3 linked regions of the Elephas maximus indicus genome follow. The protein of the gene in region 2 purifies or fractionates together with the protein of the main gene of each other region. This does not show direct contact. Links are inferred from orthologs where the notes say so. Each region holds a gene or a part of one and is shown on either strand. Other genes may lie near its edges.

Region 1 (5,952 bases), on a different chromosome or scaffold from region 2:
TCCTGGGATTCCAAAGCAAGTCCAGAATGTTCTGCGAATTTTTGACAAAGCCTGGTCTAGTAATCATAAAAGCACTCATCTTTATTTTGTTTACATGAATGAATTTTTATCCAATCTATTATTGGAGGAGAGACTTTGGGAATGGCCTCTAGCAGACTTTTACCTATTGTTCAGGTGTCCTTCAGCAGAGTAGCAGCTGTTCTGTCTAGATTTAAAGCTAAATTGTTCTTTGGATCTTTCCAGTCAGCTTGTTCTAGCCATTAATTGGGCTTCTCCTGGCCCTGCTAACATATGAATTAACTAATACAAATCAGGGAGCCCAGGCTGATAAGCTTCAATCAGTATTTTAAATTTCTCAGCAAATTTATAAAGATCCTCCTGTAATTTTGGAAAGTCTTTCACTATGTTCCATAACTCTACGTGTGTCCAGAGTATGGAAGTGACACAGGGAGAATCCTTAACATTCGCAGGGCAGAGTCTGAAGGCCATTTCAGTTAAAGGTTACCCAGTTGAGGGTTCTATTCTAAAAGACATTTCTTGTAAGGGCTCATTAATTGAGTCCTTTGGAAAAAAAGAAAGCTCAGACAAGTACTGGCAGAGGAATAAGAGGGTAAGACATTTGGCAGAAGTACATTTGGAAGAGGTTCAGAGAAGAGACAGATGGCAAAGGAGCAGATGGAATAGGAGCAGAGATTTGACAATGTTGCTCCTTATTTTGTTTACTTAATCTGAAAACAGTATCCTGCAGGGAAGCAATTTTGCTACTTTGATGTCTTTTTGAGGCCTTTAGATACCAAACAAAATAGGCAAGCCATTGAGGTTGTTTAATGTGGGAGCCCTTACTTTCTAATTTACTGTACAAACTAATTTACAAAATTCAAAAAGGTTCCAAAGTGGCCAGTGATTTTCCAAATTGTCCCTGTAAAGGTTATGCACACTAGACAAAAACACAAATCTTGATGGACCAAAATGTTTGTTCATAAAAAGCATAAAATAGTGGGAGTCCCAGAGTGTGGCTCCAAGCTGCTCTTTGATCTGACATGCCCTGTTTTCCTAGTCAGACAGACAAATGTACACATAAAAGATGATTAATCAAACATAGGTTGTTACTTTTGGTTTTTCAAAGTCAAACAAAATCCTATTGGGGATGCTGCCTGGGGGTTTGGACAGTGTCATGTTTCACCAAGTATCTACACTGTATGAGAACTGTCTTAAGGCTGGTGGGCAGCCAAATGTTTCTGGCCTATCTCACAACCAAGCTTATCCTATGGGTATCTTTCAGTTGGTGGGGAGCACCCTGAAGACTTTTAAATGCTCAAACCCATGCCCTGGTATTTTGCAACTTGGGAGACTCTGAGATGCCTTGTCACAACCAAACCAAAACCTGGGATAGCACAGACCTAAAATCCAGGTTGATTAAAAGAGAAAGTAAAAACAAATCCTTGAATAAAACTCAGAGAGCTGCTACGCAAAAGCTCAGAGCTCAGATCCAAGCAGCTATTTACCACAGAAACAGCCAAATGAGCCCAAAACCTCCACACCTTGAGGGTCACAAAAGGCAATGCACTGTCTGAATCCCCACTTCTGACACAGGAAATGCTGTAGCACAGTCTTTACTCTGTTAGGAGTGAAAGCAAAAAGTTTTATTGAGGAATAAAGCAGTTTGAACTGGCTGCACTAAGTGAAAATTACAAAGTGCCCAAACTCATTAAAAAAGGTGTAAGCCTTTTATACAGTCAAGTGGGAAAGGTAGTAGTGACTATAGCCTCAAGGTGTGTGCATGATCACAGTCTTAATATCAGTAATCCTGATATAAATATACATTCCTCCTGGAAGATGCTGTGCAAGCGTTCTTGACAAACACCTTCTGACTAGCATTTCCTGAACTTCCACAGACCACATTCTTGCCTTAAATTCCTTTAAAGTTTTACAAGGTTGTAAAATCCCAAGGGTAGAAGCAGAAATAGGAGTAAAGGGGAATTATTAGCTAAATGGAGCCTTTAAACAAAACGGAGTCTCTGGTGCTAAGCACTGTTCTTTTTACCAGTCTTCTTTTTGCTTCATTTTAGGCAGCATGGCTCACCTTCCACTGTAAGGCTCCCTGCTGAAAGCCTCAAGAAAGTAAAGTCTTACTAATGCAGTGTCAAATACTTAGCTCATTTTCCCCTATCAGCACCAACCAGAGTGCCAAACCCCACCCCCGGGTTTTATCCGGTGGTTTACAGCTTACTTCTTCCAACTAAGCAGCTCCAGCAGCAGGGTTGAGTCTTACTCATTTTTCTGTTCCATAGAGCCGTAATCCTACCACTCAATTAACATCAATGGGATGATTTCAATAACCGTCCGGGCAAACATGCAAACTTTTAACGTGCTCTAGAAATCCAACACTCCCAGTACACCGCCACACTGCGCAGGCACAATGGCAGACCTCTGTTTTCTCCAGAAGACCTTAGCATTTGGCGCCAAATCCCCGTTCCGTGGGCGGGGCTGAGGGAGAAGCGGCCGCTCATTGGGCAGGTTTGGCGCGAAATCTCCGAGCTCCCGCGCCACGATTGGCTCCAGTGGTCCCGGTCGGGCGAGGGGGCGGGGCGAAAGCGGCGGCGGCGCGCGCAAAGCGGCTGCGTCCGGGAAGAAGCTGCTCGTGGCGAGGAGTGTGGCGGCGGCTGCACCCCAGCCATAGGCGGCGATGGACCTCGTGGCGGCAGCCGAGCCGGCCGCGGGCTCCCAGCACCTGGAAGTCCGCGACGAGGTAGCCGAGAAGTGCCAGAAACTGTTCCTGGACTTCTTGGAGGAGTAAGTCGGCAGGCGCCCAGGCCCTGCCCGCGGCCGCTGCTCCCAGCCCCGGTGGGCGCCCTTCCTCGCGGCACTTCCCCGCGCGGCCCCTTCCGCTTGCTGAGCCGGGTCGCCTGGAGCGCGCGGCTCCCGGGTCCCCGTGCTCGGGCGGTTCCGTGCGGCCGGCGCTTTTCGGACACGGAGGGATTGCGCCGCTTGGAAGGGGGGAGGTCCCGCATCTCTTTTTGAGTCCCCCAGGCCGAGCGCCGGCGAGGAGCTTGAAAGGGCTGGGCTGGCTTCAGAGATGAAACTCGTCTCTCGTTGTGCCCGGTGCCCTGAGCCGAGCGCTCTGCTTGCGTCACTTAGTCCTCACAACAGGCCGCTCACAGCCTCCTTGTTCCCGATGGGAAACCGAGGCTAGGTGAGGTTAAGCAGCTTGTCCCGGTAGGCACGGCGGGGTTGATTGAGAAGCAAACAAGCGTTTGAATCCTGGCCGAGCCCTGAGAGGGCAGACGGCCCAGAGGTTAGTGTTGGGGACACCGCGTCCCCGGCCTGCGTTGGAGCCGGTGGAGTTGAAACTATCAGCGTCAGCGCTGTGGGTCCCTCTGATGTGAGGCAGAGTTTTCGGGGTGGGAATGGGGTGAGCCTGACCCTTCATTAAATTAGCTGATTACATCCCTCGATCTGGCTGGCCGGCTGGCTGGCTTCCTCTCTGCCTTGTTTCCTTCGTTCCTCCCCCTTTTTCCTCTTTCCCGGTAGCTTCCTGGGTCCTGGCCCCCCATAACTCCTCCTTGGCTTCTCCCTACGGTTACTAGTGATCACTCTTAGGGCAGATCTATCACTACTCTCCCTAGTAGCATCAACTCTGCAGACTCCAGGATGAAGTGTAAATACTTTGGAATGTCTTAAAAAGTTCTTACATACTTAAAACTATAATTTACATTTCCCTACCTTTGGTTATGTTATTCTCTGCCTGACAGCTTCTTATCTTTCAAAGCCCAGCTAAAGAATCACACCGCCTTTGTGAAGCCCTTGTAACTAACCCCTTTTCTAACGTTCTTCTCAGGGTGCCATTTGCCACATAGCTCTATTAATATGCATTTATTTGGAAACCCTGGTGGTGTAGTGGTTAAGAGCTACAGCTACTAACCAAAAGGTCGGCAGTTCATATCTACCAGGCGCTCCTTGGAAACTGTATGGGGCAGTTCCACTCTGTCCTGTAGGGTCCCTATGAGTCAGAATTGACTCGACAGCAATGGGTAAGTAAGGTAAGCTGGGTGTACCTTTATTTACCTGTCAGTCACTGAGCTTGAATGCAAATCCCATCCTCAACCCCACCTAGCAAACCACATCATAAAGATCATCCATAATTATTTGTTTCAAGGAATAATTTAAGTGCCTTCACTTTATTATATTGTTAGATGATGATGAAGATGACAAATAATCCCTGTACATTGTTGAGAAAAAAATGTTAACTTCCTTTTCAAAACTTAACTTTGATTCTGCGTCACTTGTGGAATAAAGTCCGAATTCTTCGCAGCCCCTCTATCCAGGATCATCTTCCACAACCAGCATCAGTCATCACCCACACTTCTCCCATACCCTCTGTGACCTTGCCTCATGTTTGCAAACATCTGTAGCCAATCCGCTAGAGCTCTGTTGGCACCATGGTTAAAAGCATGGTTGCTAACCGAAAAGGTCAGCTGTTCCTTGGAAACCCTGCAGGACAGTTCTACTCTGTCCTAGAGAGGGTCACTGTGAGTCGGAATCGACTCCACGGCAAGTTTTTCTGGGGGGAGGGAGGGCTAAGGGGGGGCCTGTAGCCAACCCACCATTCTTATTTTTCTTTCAAAATTTTAACATCTTTCAAGGTGGAATTCTAGTGTCATGTTTATGTGTATGAAGCCTTTCTAGATGTTCCTGTTAGGCAGAATTAGCTTATATTAACAGGGCCACATCTCTTGTGTCTTTCTTTAGTAGGAACATCCTTCTTCCCTTCCTTGGTTATTTACATGTATGTCTCCTGCGAGCATTAACCCTAGAGCGGAACAGTTTCATTTTCAGGTTCAGGGAGCTCTGTCAGGTGTTTTGCACGTAGATATTAGTTCAATAAATATTTAAGAGTTACAACATACTGTTGTCCAAGGAGGGATTGATACTAATCTGCATATTGTGTTTAAAAGAATGTAATACACCCTTTGAGGAAAAAATTCACCAGGTTTTTTGCATGTGAATGTGTTTTCATTTCCCTGCAGTCGTGGACAATAAAGCACTTCATTTCTGTGTTTTTATTTTTATTCAGACACTTAGATCAATTAATCTGTTGGTTTTCAAATTCCCTAGGAAAATTGGATCTTTGGGTTTTAGCCTGAATTTCTTGATTAAACATTATGTATCACGATAGTAATAGTTACCAATTGAACACATTAGTTGATTGGAAATATTCCATTCAAGAAATTCAGGTTAAAGCCCAAGGACCTTTTCTTGTGTTCCAGCACTGTGCAAAAGACTACATATAATCATAGTGGTCTTATGACATGAGGTGATGTGCCCTCATCTGTAAAAAAAAAAAAAGAAGAAGAAGAGTATCCGGGATATCTAGGTCAATTGGCATAACAAAATTTATTAAGAAAATGTTCTGCATCCCACTTTGGTGAGTGGCATCTGGGGTCTTAAAAGCTGTCAGGCAGCCATCTAAGATGCATCAGTTGGTCCCAACCCACCTGGAACAAAGGAGAATGAAGCACACCAAAGACACAAGAAAAATATTAGCACAAAAGACAAAAGGCGCCATGTAAACCTTAGACTGGAAGAACTAGATGGTGCCTGGCTACCACCAATGACCGCCTTGGGTCACAACAGGGAACACAACAGAGAGTCCCTGATGGAGCAGGAGAAAAGTGGGGTGCAGAACTCAAATTCTAGTAACAAGACCAGACTTGATGGTCTGACGAAAACTGGAGAAACCCCAGAAGACATGGCCCCTGGGCTCTCTCTTAACCTAGAACTAAACCCATTGCTGAAGCCAACTCTTCAGACAAAGAATAGACTGAACTATAAGACATAAAATGATACTCATGAAGAGTGTGCTTCTCAGTTCAAGTAGGTACATGAGACTAAATGGGCAGCACCTGCCCGGAGGTGAGATGAGAAGGCAGAAAGGGACAGGAGCTGGTGGAG
Region 2 (5,952 bases):
TCAGCTAAGGCCACCATGCAGGGCCTCCTAAGGAACTTCGGCAACCTTCCTAAGCCATAGTGAAGACTTTAGGATTCATCCTAGGTATGATGAGCCTTTGAAGAGTTTAAGCAGGGGAATGACATGATCTGATTTATATTTGAAGATCACTCGGACGGCTGTATGGAGAACTCGTCACAGACAGGACCATTTTCTCTACTAGCACCACAGACAGAAAATGCTTGTGGCCGCTGAGCTTTTCAGGAGCTATGAAAACAATGGGGTGGGGATAAAGGGGGAAAAACTTCCACAGAGAAAAAACAAAACTGCAAAGTTGAAATCAATAAATGTTTAACTAAATGTTTATTTAGAAAACTTAACATCATAGCAACTTCATGCATTGATAATTTAGTATTTGCAAAAAATCAATCACACTTGGAAATCATTTGGAAATTAGATTCTTCTCAAGTCACAGAAATTCCCAAGTATGCCCAGCATTTGCCAGATCAAGCCAATTATAAATGTCAATTTTCTTGCAGGCAAGTAATATCAAAAGAAAAAAATAACTTCCCATTTTTTTTAATGGAAAAAAATTTTTTTTCTTAATGTATATACCAAAAAAAAAAAAAAATATATATGCCTCACACCATGAAGCCTTAAGATTCTGAGGAGAACCCAGAGGTGGCCAGGTAAGAGATGCTGGAGGCTTAGATCAGTGCTGTTAAGGTTTATAGAGTAGCAGAGGCTTACATCCCATCCTAGATGGCCCAGAATACCAAAGGAGTAAGTTTGAACACTGTCCAGGGGACCATTGGAAAGGCTTCTCTGAGGAAAGCGCATTTGAAGCAAGAAGCCTGAGTGAAAAGGCACTAGCTGGGCCAAGAGTTGGGAAAAGAGGTTCCAGGCAGGGGCTCTGAGCTATCAGTTTTTTAAGCAACAAAAAAGGGGTCTGTTTGGCTGGACTGAAGCTGGAGATGAGTAGGTAATAGGAAACAAAGCATGTAGGGTCTTGATAACAATGTTCTCAGTCCAGAACTGTAGAAAACCACTCCCGTTTCAAGCAGGGGCGTGACCTGATCCAACTGTTTTAGGTTTGCACTATCCAATAGTACAGGAGTCTTTTTCCACAGGTGGCAAATTCAACTGCAAACTGAACTTTCAATTTTATTTAATTTAAAAATTAAAACTCCGAAATACAATTCAGCTAATGGAAAACTTTTACGCATGTTTGGAACAACTTCGACACACGAATCTACTTCTCCAACTGTAAACTGTATGAAACCTAAAGGCAGAATAACTATTTCCGATGAAAATTTAGGGTCCCAGTTACAGATGTGCTGTACCTGTGAAACACACACAGGCTGTCAAAGCCTTAGTACTGAGTAAAAATACGTAAGTTATCTCCTTCGTATTTTTATAATCATATGTGGCAGTAATATTTTGGCTATATGGGATTAGACTTGACACGTTATTAAAATTAATTTCACTTTTTTTCTATTTTTTTAATGTGGATACTAGAAAATGTAAAATTAGGTATGTGGCTTGCGTTACTTTTCCACTGGACAATACTGGTCGCCGAGACAGAGTGGTTGCAGAAGTTCTTGGGTGCTCCAGGCAGGAGGCGTCGGTGGTCCAGACCACGGATGGAGGTGAAGTTTCTGCAAGTATTGTGGAGTCACGAGTCATGTCAGTGAATTTTCACAGCCCGTTTAATGGACGAGGAAATGGGAGTGGCAGAGCTCGGACTCGAACCCACGTCTATCAGACGCTTCGCGCTTGAGGGGTATTATCTACTTGAAACCTCCCAGCGGCCCTCGAGATGCCGACAGTGGGATTCGAACCAGGCCCCAGTCCTGAAGCCAGGCCAAGCGTAGCGCGTTACTGCCACTCCGTCTCCCCACGGCTGAGCCCAACGTTCACAACGTTCATAACGGACTCCCTGGCCGCCTGACCTGAGTAGCCAGGAACTCCTGAGTGACGCTCCCGGTAACGCTCACCCGCTGACAGACGCCGAGGCCGCAAACGCTCTTTTCTCTTCAGACTCGACGCAGTCGCGCAGGCGCCCGACTCCCCCCACCCATTCCGCGAATCCCAGTTGTGCTAGCTCTCCTCCAGCCCCCGCGGTCAACTCAGCCAATCGCCTATCACTAAACCTGCTTTATTCCCACCCACTCCCGCCCGCCAATCACCGCTGACGCAAGCACCGCCCTTCCCGCCCTCTTCAGCGTGCGCCGCGCGCCCCCGTTCGGCCGTTGGCGGCGCTGCCCCGTGGGATGCGTGCCCCGGAAGGGCGGGGCGAAGCGCGCGCCACGCTGGTGCGGGAACCCTTGGGATTGGCCAGGAGGAGGCCCTGCTCTTTCTCCGCCCACTCTCGCCCTCTGCATCCGAGTCGGAGACACTGGGGATTGGCTCCCAGGTGGGGATGGGGGCCCAAAGAAGCATGGAGACGTTCCCGTCCCTCTCGCGCTCACCGGGGAGGGAGCACCCCTGATTGGTCCGGGAGTCTCGGCGCGCGCCCGCCGGCGCTCCAGGATTGGCTGAAGACGGGCTCGCGCCGCCGGGGAGCGTTGGCGGTGATTGGCCGGGGGGTGGGGTGGCTATTTGAAGGCGGCGCGCGGACGAGGTGCGCATTTCAGTCCGCGTAGAGAGGAGTCGGGAGCGGCTCTTGGAACCCTGCCTCCTAACCCACCGGACGCAGGCCCTAGGTTGGCCCCGGCCCGGCCTCAGCCCTGGTACCAGCCCCGGCCCGGCGAGGCGATGGCCAAAGTATCGGTGCTGAACGTGGCGGTGCTGGAGAACCCGACCCCTTTCCACAGCCCCTTCCGGTTCGAGATCAGCTTCGAGTGCAATGAGGCCTTGGCGGACGGTGAGGCTGGGCCTGTGTGGAGACACCTCCCCCCCTCCCCCCACGGCCAACCCCGACTTACCCTCGAGACATTCCCACGGTCAACCCCGACCTCCTCGTGGAGACACCTCTCAGCCCCCATCAACCTCGACCTCCCCATGGAGACCACCCCAATGCCAACCCTAATCTCCCCGAGATCCTCCTGACACAACCAACCCTGACTTCCGGTGGCCAACTCGGACCTCCCTGTGAAAACACCCTCCCATCCCGTCAACCTCTACCTCCCCATGGAAACCCCCTAGTGTCAAACCTAATCTCCCCCTGAGGCCCCCCAGTGCCAACCCTAACCTCCCCCGTGACCCCCCCAGTGCCAATCCTGACCTGCCCCTGAGACTCCCCACACACAGCCAACCCTGACCACCCCGTGGAGACCCCTCCTTCCATGGCCAACCCCACTCTCCCACTTTCCTGTGGAAACATCATCCCTTTTTTTTTTTTTTTTTTTGGTAGAGCTCCTCCCAGCTACCCGTTTAAGTAGGGACCTTCTCAGCCTCCATTCTTCCCTATGGCAAGACGCATTCCAAGTGACCCTCCGTTTCTGGAAGGCCAGACCCCCCCTTCCAGCCACCCAATGGGATGAGGCTGCCACTCATCCCCACTCCCCTGTGGCCAGACACTCCCAACTCATTTTTATCCTGTAGAGACCTCAGCCACCTGTCATTTTTTCTGTGGAGACCTCTCCTCCAAACACCCCTTCTTTTTCCCTGTGGAGACCTCCCCCTAAAGTCACCTTCCTTTTTCCCTGTTAAGACTTTCCTGTCACATGATCTTACTCCATCTCCCCTAACAATCCCCTCCCCAACTTGCTTATATTTAAACATCTTTCCCACCTTGCCTCCCAACTTCTGCTTGCTCTCCACCCCAAAGCATACACTCTAGAACTTGGCTTTTCTCCTCCTCAGTCTGATCCCCTACACTTGAGCTCCATCTAGGGAGGGATGGCCTGGCTTCTCCCTCTAGACTTGGAGGGTAACTTGGTCCTCCCAAGTTCCTGTTTCTCCCTCCTCTCTGCTAATCAGCTTGGATAAACACCTGCCAATCTGAGGGGTGGTGTAGCCAGGCAAGTGTGAGCCAGTTCCCAGGGTTTGCCCACCAGGTTCCAGCTGACTTACTGCAGCAATTCTTCCAATGCGTTTGATGGTTTGACCTAGTCTGAGGAGTGGGTGGGACAGGCTGAGCTGAGACAGCATCTGGCTTCAAATAATCAGCTAGGAGGTCACAACCTTTTGTGCATCTTTTCCAAGGTGCTTTCATGAATGTACTTACAAGTCTGTGTGACATAAAGGAGGTAGACATGGCTCTCATCTCAGATGAGAAAGCAGGCACCACAAAGAGTAAAAGACCTTTCAAGAAGAGGTCTATAAAAATCTAAAACTAAATGGCTAAGGTCACCCAGGGAGCTTTGGCACAGCTGACAGGCAAGTCCTGCTTTCAGGAGGAAGTAATCAGCTAGACCACCTCTCCACTTGGCCATTAAAGGAGAAGGGGCAGCAACTGAGGTGAGGCTGGCGCGCTAACTAGCGCCTCTCAGTGGCAGATGTGTGGTTTGCTCACAGAGCCTGCTGCTTGGATTGCTTGCGGCTGATACAGTTTGAAGGATGTGTGGCCTACAGGTGAGCCAGTGGTCACTCTCCCCCTGTGTCTCACACTCTTTTTTTAAATTAAGGAGTCCATTTGTGACTAAGTATAGAGTAAGCCAAGTTAAATCCTTGCTAGAACAAGTCTGGGTGTAAATAAATAAATAAAGTGTAGAATGACACTGTGGAATAAGATTTAATTTTAAAGCCAGGAAGAGATGTAAGGAGCTAATAGGTTAAGGGATTCACAGTTCCCAGATGGCAGGAGATCAGGTTGCAATCAGCCTGTTTGTACTTCTTGAATTAAAAATGGTTGCATGGCCATTATTTAGTACTATTATTCCTGGAAGTCCGTGCCCGGTGACTTTAGTAATTTGTTTATAGTATTGGGACAGGAAAGGTTAAAGTTAGCCTGCAGTGTTTTCCTTTTTAATAGAGGGAAGTGGAGTGACTTCTCCAAGGTCACACAGCCAGTTTATAGAAATGTTGGGATGAAAACTTGTTGCTGAGGTCTGAGTCTGGTTTCATTGTCTTTGCTCTTATCCTAGTAGGCGAAAGAAAGAAAGCATTTCCTACTTTAGAGGCGGAGTTTAAATAGGAAACCAAAAAAACCCATTGCTGTGGAGTTGATTCCAACTCAAAGCTACCCTATAGGACAGAGTAAGACTGTCCCACAGAGTTTTCAAGGCTGTAAATCTTTAACCGAAGTAGACTGCCCCTTCTTCCTCCCGTGGAGCAAGCTGGTGGTTTCCAACCATAGACCTTTTGGTTAGCAGCTGAGCTCTTAGCTACTGTGCCACCAGGGCTGCTTATAAATAGGAGGGACCATACAATTTATTGCCAAATCAGGACATTCAAAAGAGAGTAAAAGGGGCGCTATTCTTAATTATGCCAGATAGTAGAGCTTTTGCTCAGAGAAACTCAAGTTGGGAATCAAACCCTGGCCTGGGAATCCAGACTCTATGGTTCTACCTCCTATGGCTGTTGGTGACTCTGACATGCCAGCTTGCTTTCTGCCTCTTCCTGGCCTTCTTCCCACAAAGCAGAATCCGTTTCCTGCCTTCCAAACAGATGGAGTGGGGCTGCCTTAAAAGTCTCTCTGGTCCTGGAGAAACCTCAGTCTTTTTACCTCTCTGTGCTGCCAACTGAAATCTGACAAGGCACCCAACCCCCGGTCAGTTAGCCAACCCCCATTTCCCAAGGGTGCCAAGCCCCTTTCTCCGCAGCATCTGGAAATAGATGTTTCCAAGGCATGGGTCCACGTTTAATATGTTAGGTGTGCTTTTCCCCTGTTTAGTTGAGAAATGCAACTGACACTGGTTGAATAAGTCATAGAAGCCAGATGTTCTGACCCACAGCTCACACGCTGTGGTGAGGCCGACGTTCATGTGTATAATTATGAACAAAGGCAAAGTGATAACAGAAAAAGGGCATACTAGGTATGTTAAGTTAAAAAAAAAAAAAAAACAGGAAACGGACTCTGCAGGTAGT
Region 3 (5,952 bases), on a different chromosome or scaffold from region 2:
GAGGGACCAGTCCCTGGAGAAGGACATCATGCTTGCCAAAGCAGAGGATCAGCGAAAAAGGGGAAGACCTTCAATAAAATGGACTGACACAGTGGCTGCAAAAATGGCCTCAAGCATAACAATTGTGAGGACCAGGCAAGGTTTCATTCTGTTATACATAGGGTCACAATGAGTCGGAACTGACTTGACAGAACCTAACAACAAACATGTACGCACGTGTGTGTGTATCTCTCCGAGGTTTACATTTTTCTATTACCATATTTTAAATTAAAATAGATTCAATTTTTCAGGAAACAAAGTTTGTTCTCTCCTTGACACATACATTTAAGTTCCATTCATGTTAATGGTTCTTACTAACATCCAACAGAAGTCAAAAGCTCTGAAGTTACATCAATTTATATAATACAGTGACATGTATACCTGGAAAAGGTGCTAAACACTTTAAAAATATAAACTCGGATTCTACTCTATAGAGGATATCTCCATTTTGATAGGACAATGTTCCTGTTAACATTAGTGAAACTTGAGGATATAACTCAAGCTCTAAGAGAAATATATCCCGAAAGAGGGTTGGGAGTCCCTAGGTGGTGCAAATGACTGAAGTACTCTCCTGCTAACCAAAAGGTTGGCGATTTGAGTCCACTCAAAAGTGTCTCAGAAGAAAAGCCTGGTGATCGACTTCTAAAAAGTCAGCCATTGAAAACCCTATGGAGCACAGTTCTACACTGACACACATGGGGTGGCCATGAGTTGAAACTGACTTGATAGCAACTGGTTTCAGAGAGGTTGGAGTCTACCCAGAGGTGCCTCAGAAGAAAGGCCTGGCAATCTATTTCTGAAAAATCAGCCACTGAAAACCCTATGGAGCACAGGTTCTATTCAGACACACGTGGGGTTGCCCTGAGTTCGAACTGATTTTGATAGCAACTGGTTAACTCAGTTTTTAATCTACATGCTGGTTGGTCAGAGAGAGACCACACGCAGGGACTTGATATGAAATATAACTTTCACAAAACACATCCTACTTTCGTATTAATTAACAGATTCCCTATTTTAGGTTACACAAAAATCTACGGTAATCTAAACTGCTGGAAAATTCTGGTTATTTCAAAGTCCAGGTTAATTATTCTAACCCTTCAAAACTTTCAAATATCAGGAAAAGTGCAGAATAGTACAGATAAAGAAATTTTTAACTAGAGTTGAAGTAACTTCAGAAACTCAATCTAGATTTCGTGGCCCCCAAATTACTAACACTGATAACCAATGTCAACAGATGAACAACAGACAATAACAGACATAATCATATACCCTCAGTATCTAGTACAGGGACTGGCTTACAATAATGGCTCAACAATTGAGGAATGAATGATAAAACACCTTTAAAAAATAAAATAAAATGGTCTTTCTCAACTCACAACACTACCAGTAAGCACCTTAATGAAATTACGAAGTAAAAGCATGCTAAAAGCACCCAACTGTTCCGTTTACAAAATACCTTTTAAAATATTCATTTAAAATTTTTCAAGTGCACAAAGATCACCAGATACTAAATTTGAGTGAGTCAATAAATAAACTTTTATTAATAACCAGAACTCAGTGTTGAGAGCAAAATGAAAGGGAAAAATGTCTGTCAATATATTCAGCATGTTTAATGGATGCCATAAATCAAACCTTCCCACGAATTTTCTAGAGCAAATTCATGCCAATCTTTGAGCCTATTGTCACTTTCACACATGCTCACAGGAACAAAATGACAAAGAATGCTACGCCTGAACCGCTGGATTCAGGGCACAAAACACTAGATTAACAACTGTCAAGGCTATGAGTAATAAATATTGAGTGATATTTTCAAAATAAATTAAACCCATCGATTTCTACATAAATTGATGCTCCTGCTTTCTTTAAAAGATCCATTAGACTGACTTCCACACGTTTTTTTTTTTTTTCTTCTTGTGAAAATGTGGCTACAATCTTGCATGAGACAACTGGGACTGAACAACCCGTTTACCAACTGCTGATGAATACCGCTAAACATTTTCCAGACAAAGAGCGTTAAACGCGATTCCATGCACATTTACTCTTCCCCCATAAATGAGCGTTCTCCTGAATTTCATTTTGTGTCGTATACTTAAAGTTAAACACAGCAAGTTGAAATTTTAGCCAAAAGCACTCCGGTGTCTTACTAGCTGTGTAACTGCTACATCTGGTGGCAGCACACTTTCATGCAAGAAGCCAGAAAACTTAGAAAACAATCGTAACCGATCTGGTGCGTGTTTGCAGTAACCTTTACGCAGATATTTCCCACAAAACCCACGACCCTGTCAGAGAAGAACAGTAGTCTACTTGCAGAAGAGAGAGAACGCACAAACACGCAGAAGGTGATGGCGAAGGAGAGAAAGTTGCAACCATCTGGAGGGGTGATTTAAGAACCTGCCCACGAGTCACACTGTCGTTTAAATTGCTCTAGGGCAGGGGATCAAAGTCTGCCTAGACAATAATTTCAGCGTCTCTCCCTAAAGAGAAGAGACCCTGCAAACGAAGTGCATCCAGGTCCCGGGCAGCAAAGCTTGCGGAGCCACGGGACCGCCTCTGTGGGAGGAGTGCGAGGGCGAATGGGAGGGGGCTCGCGAGGATGAATGCTCCAACGGGAGGGAAAACCCACCAGAGACAGAGGAGGCCAGGAGGTTAAACGTATGGAGTGTACTAGGAAAGGGGGCAGAAAGGGACTCGCGTCCGGAGGGAGGCTTCCCACCCTCGCACGACGGGCTCTTAGGAAGCCAGACGAGTCTGTGCGCCTCGCCCCGTCCCCACCAGCCCGCACCCCCTCGCTCGTCTCCTCCGCCACCCGTGAACCACCACCCACAGCCAGCGCACTACCTCCCCGGAGCCCGGCGGCCTCGCGGCCACCTCGCCACCATCCCCCACCCCAGGGTCGAGGAGAGGAGACCCGAGGGCGCGGGGGCCGTGGCGCGGGAAGGGGGCCCGCGAGCGGGCGCGGCGGTGCTTACCTTCCCTGGGCCTCCCGGATGGCGGCGTGTGATTCAGCAGGGACCTGGCCGCCGCCGCCGAGCCCGGGGTTGGAGACGTGGAGAGCTGGGACCAAGATGGCGGCCCCTCCAAACTTCCACTGCTACTTTGGACACTCATCAAGCTACTTTCTGGGAACCCGACTCTGCCCCCGAGACAGCAGCAGTGGCAACGGCACCGGCACCCGCCTCCGTCATGGCGGGGGCCGCGCTGAGGGCGAGGGAGAGAGTGAGGGCAGGGAGGGGAGAGTCAAGGGGATGGGGGAAGGAAACCGAGCAGGGGGGAGGTGGAAAGGGAAGAGGTGAGGGGAGGAGAGGGGACTGGGAGGAGGAAAAGGGGGAGAAGAGAAGGAGCGGGCGGGCGCGCCGGAGAAGAGGCGGAGGGAAGGAGCGCCGCGGTAAGGGCGTCGAGGGGGCGCCCGCCGGGCTGGGGTCGAAGCGCGGGCGGAGCGCGGGCAGCGCCGGCCGAGGAGACTTCCGCGGGCGGAACCTGCCGGCACCTCTGCAGTGCGTCGGCCCCCGGCGTCGCCTGGGTGGCGGCGGCAGCGGACGGTGGGTGGCGGCTGAGGCGGCGGCGGCAGGGTAACCTCTGCATCAGTTACAGGAGGCGGCGGCGGCGGCGTCACGCGCCGCCTGTGCAAACACTATCGCGAGGCTCCTGCGCCTCCGGTAGCGGCGGCGGCCGCCGGAGCAGGCATGGGGGAGGGACCTGCCAGAGCCTGGGGGCGGGGGTGTGAGGAGGGAGCGAGCGCGCGAGGGAGGAGACGCGGCCGAGGGGGCGCCCCCGGCGCGCCCGCGGATCGCAGCGCGGGAGCCCCGGGCCGACGGACTCGCGTGCGCGGGCCGCCCTCCCCGCGCCGGCCGGAGGGAGGCGCGCCCCGCACGCGCCCCCTCCGCGCAGCTCCGGCTCCCGCGCCCCTGCCACCTGACTCCCCCTCTCCCGCGGAAGCGCGCCTGGCTCCCGACCCACACCCAGCCTGGGGAGGAATGCTTCTGCTCTTGCTCGACTGTCGCTTCTCCGTGGTTAGAAGTCATCGTTTTTCAAGATGGAACTGAAAAGTTGAAAGTTGCTTCTGTCTTGCTCTTCTGTACTGTGCAAAAAACCTGTGTGCGTCTCCCACTCTGCAGAATGGGAGTAATTACCGAATAAAAGAACTGAGGAAATAAGTTGGGGAGGGGGATGTTGCGATATAAACTTTCTGAATGTTTTCTTAAAAAAAAAAAAAATCTTTAGTAAAGGAATTGAAAATCACTACCGGTATTGTAGACCGTACATGTGGCATAGCAGTTCTTTTTGTTTTGAAACCGTAAGTGGAAAATCTAAATAGAAAATTTTTAACGCTGAATTCACATATTTAGGAAAATTACCCAGTGTTCATCGTGTAGAAAGGGCATGTTTCTAGAAAGTTCCAATTTGTTTCTATTTTTCCCCCAGCTCTGACTAGAAAATCTCAAAGCAAATTACAGCATTTTCTAAAATTTATAGACGCGGTGTAGCTTTCTACACACCCACACATGCACCAGGGATTGGACATCTTGTATATAAAAGAGTAGTCTGGTAGTTCAGGAAAAGTACAACAAGGTTATTGCATTCTTTAAAAAACCAAGTTGAATAGAACAGTAAACAGATTATGATATAGAGCAATTGTACAGGCATGAGGAAATGGCATGATTACCAGGGGACAAAAATGTCATTTCTATTTTTTATTTTTATGACTTTGCATTTCTGACAGTAATGTTTTGTTCAGATAAACCATCATACTAGAATAGAACCTTGGTTGTCAATTATCTCCAGAAGTAATTTTAGTTTTATGCTTGAGATACTTCAGTGGGTTTTTAATCATCTTCTGCTTTTCAAATGTAAGAGGTAGATCTCACAAATTAAACAGCTTTATTGAGGTATAATTGACATGCAGTAAACTGCATGTGTTTAAGGTGTACAATTTGATAAATTTTGACATGTATATACCCTTGAAACCCTCTCTACAATCAAGATCATCAGTATATCCATCACCCCCAAAGTTTTCTCTACTGAGGTTCCTCGTCCACTCCCCCCCATCCCCAACCACTGTCACTATAGATTAGTTTGCATTTTCTAAAATTTTAAATAAATAGAACCAGAGTATAGGCACTCTTTTCTCTAGCTTCTTTCACTGGACATAATTGAGATTCAATCACATTGTTGCATTTATCAATAGTTCGTTCCTTTTTATTGCTGAGTGGTATTCATTTGTATGAATGTACACACTTTGTTTATCCAGTCACATATTGATGAACCTTTGTGTTACGGCCATTTTTCGCTTTTACAAATAGTGCTGCTGTTAACACTCATGTACAAGTCTTTGTGTGTACATATGCCTTCCTTTCTCTTGGATACATACTCACGAGTTTACCATTAGATTTTTATGTCATATTATATGCACTCTAACTATAAGGGGGTATAAAGTTTCTATAACAACATGTAGATAAGTATATGCTCTTACTGTATTTTTAAAGGAATAAGCTTAGCAGATTGTGGTGAAAAGAGCATAGAGCTGGAAGGAAGTTAAGAAACTAGTCACAATCTTTAATTCAATTACCTGATCTTTGGAAAAGTGGCTAGATCTGTAAAGTTCCTGCCAATTCCAAGACTCTATACAGAGCTCAACTCGAGAGTATACAGAGCCCGAACAAAAAGATAGGATCCTATCCCTCTCTCCGAAGCTTCAGGTTACCTTTATATCAGCCCTTAGCCGTGTAACATTTATGCTGACTGGCTCCTTTTATTATAAATGGAGGATCATGCATATTCATCATCAAATTAGATATATTTTTGTGAGTGCTGGCTAGGAAGGACAATTAAATGATCAATTTCTGCCTTTCATAGCTTACAATTAAGATAGCACCTACAAAGAGGCCTCTGCAGCAATAGGGAGCTAATTACCAT

What was found.
Region 1: the proteins of ASF1B (region 2) and MCM6 purify together in Homo sapiens (affinity purification with mass spectrometry; 4 studies listed by BioGRID and IntAct, counting the BioPlex papers as one, with this or other methods). This does not show direct contact. The link is inferred for Elephas maximus indicus from reciprocal best matches to the Homo sapiens genes ASF1B and MCM6.
Region 3: the proteins of ASF1B (region 2) and TLK1 purify together in Homo sapiens (co-immunoprecipitation; 3 studies listed by BioGRID and IntAct, counting the BioPlex papers as one, with this or other methods). This does not show direct contact. The link is inferred for Elephas maximus indicus from reciprocal best matches to the Homo sapiens genes ASF1B and TLK1.

Annotation. Positions count from the first base shown.
Region 1 is NC_064824.1:30,992,209-30,998,160, reverse strand, and holds the start of MCM6 (DNA replication licensing factor MCM6), read left to right. Parts: upstream 1-2,607; 5' UTR 2,608-2,686; coding exon 2,687-2,793; intron 2,794-5,952. UniProt on the Homo sapiens protein: Acts as a component of the MCM2-7 complex (MCM complex) which is the replicative helicase essential for 'once per cell cycle' DNA replication initiation and elongation in eukaryotic cells.
Region 2 is NC_064821.1:32,772,967-32,778,918, reverse strand, and holds the start of ASF1B (histone chaperone ASF1B), read left to right. Parts: upstream 1-2,555; 5' UTR 2,556-2,736; coding exon 2,737-2,845; intron 2,846-5,952. UniProt on the Homo sapiens protein: Histone chaperone that facilitates histone deposition and histone exchange and removal during nucleosome assembly and disassembly. Cooperates with chromatin assembly factor 1 (CAF-1) to promote replication-dependent chromatin assembly.
Region 3 is NC_064824.1:69,384,451-69,390,402, forward strand, and holds the start of TLK1 (serine/threonine-protein kinase tousled-like 1), read right to left. Parts: upstream 3,548-5,952; 5' UTR 3,148-3,547; coding exon 3,009-3,147; intron 1-3,008. UniProt on the Homo sapiens protein: Rapidly and transiently inhibited by phosphorylation following the generation of DNA double-stranded breaks during S-phase. This is cell cycle checkpoint and ATM-pathway dependent and appears to regulate processes involved in chromatin assembly.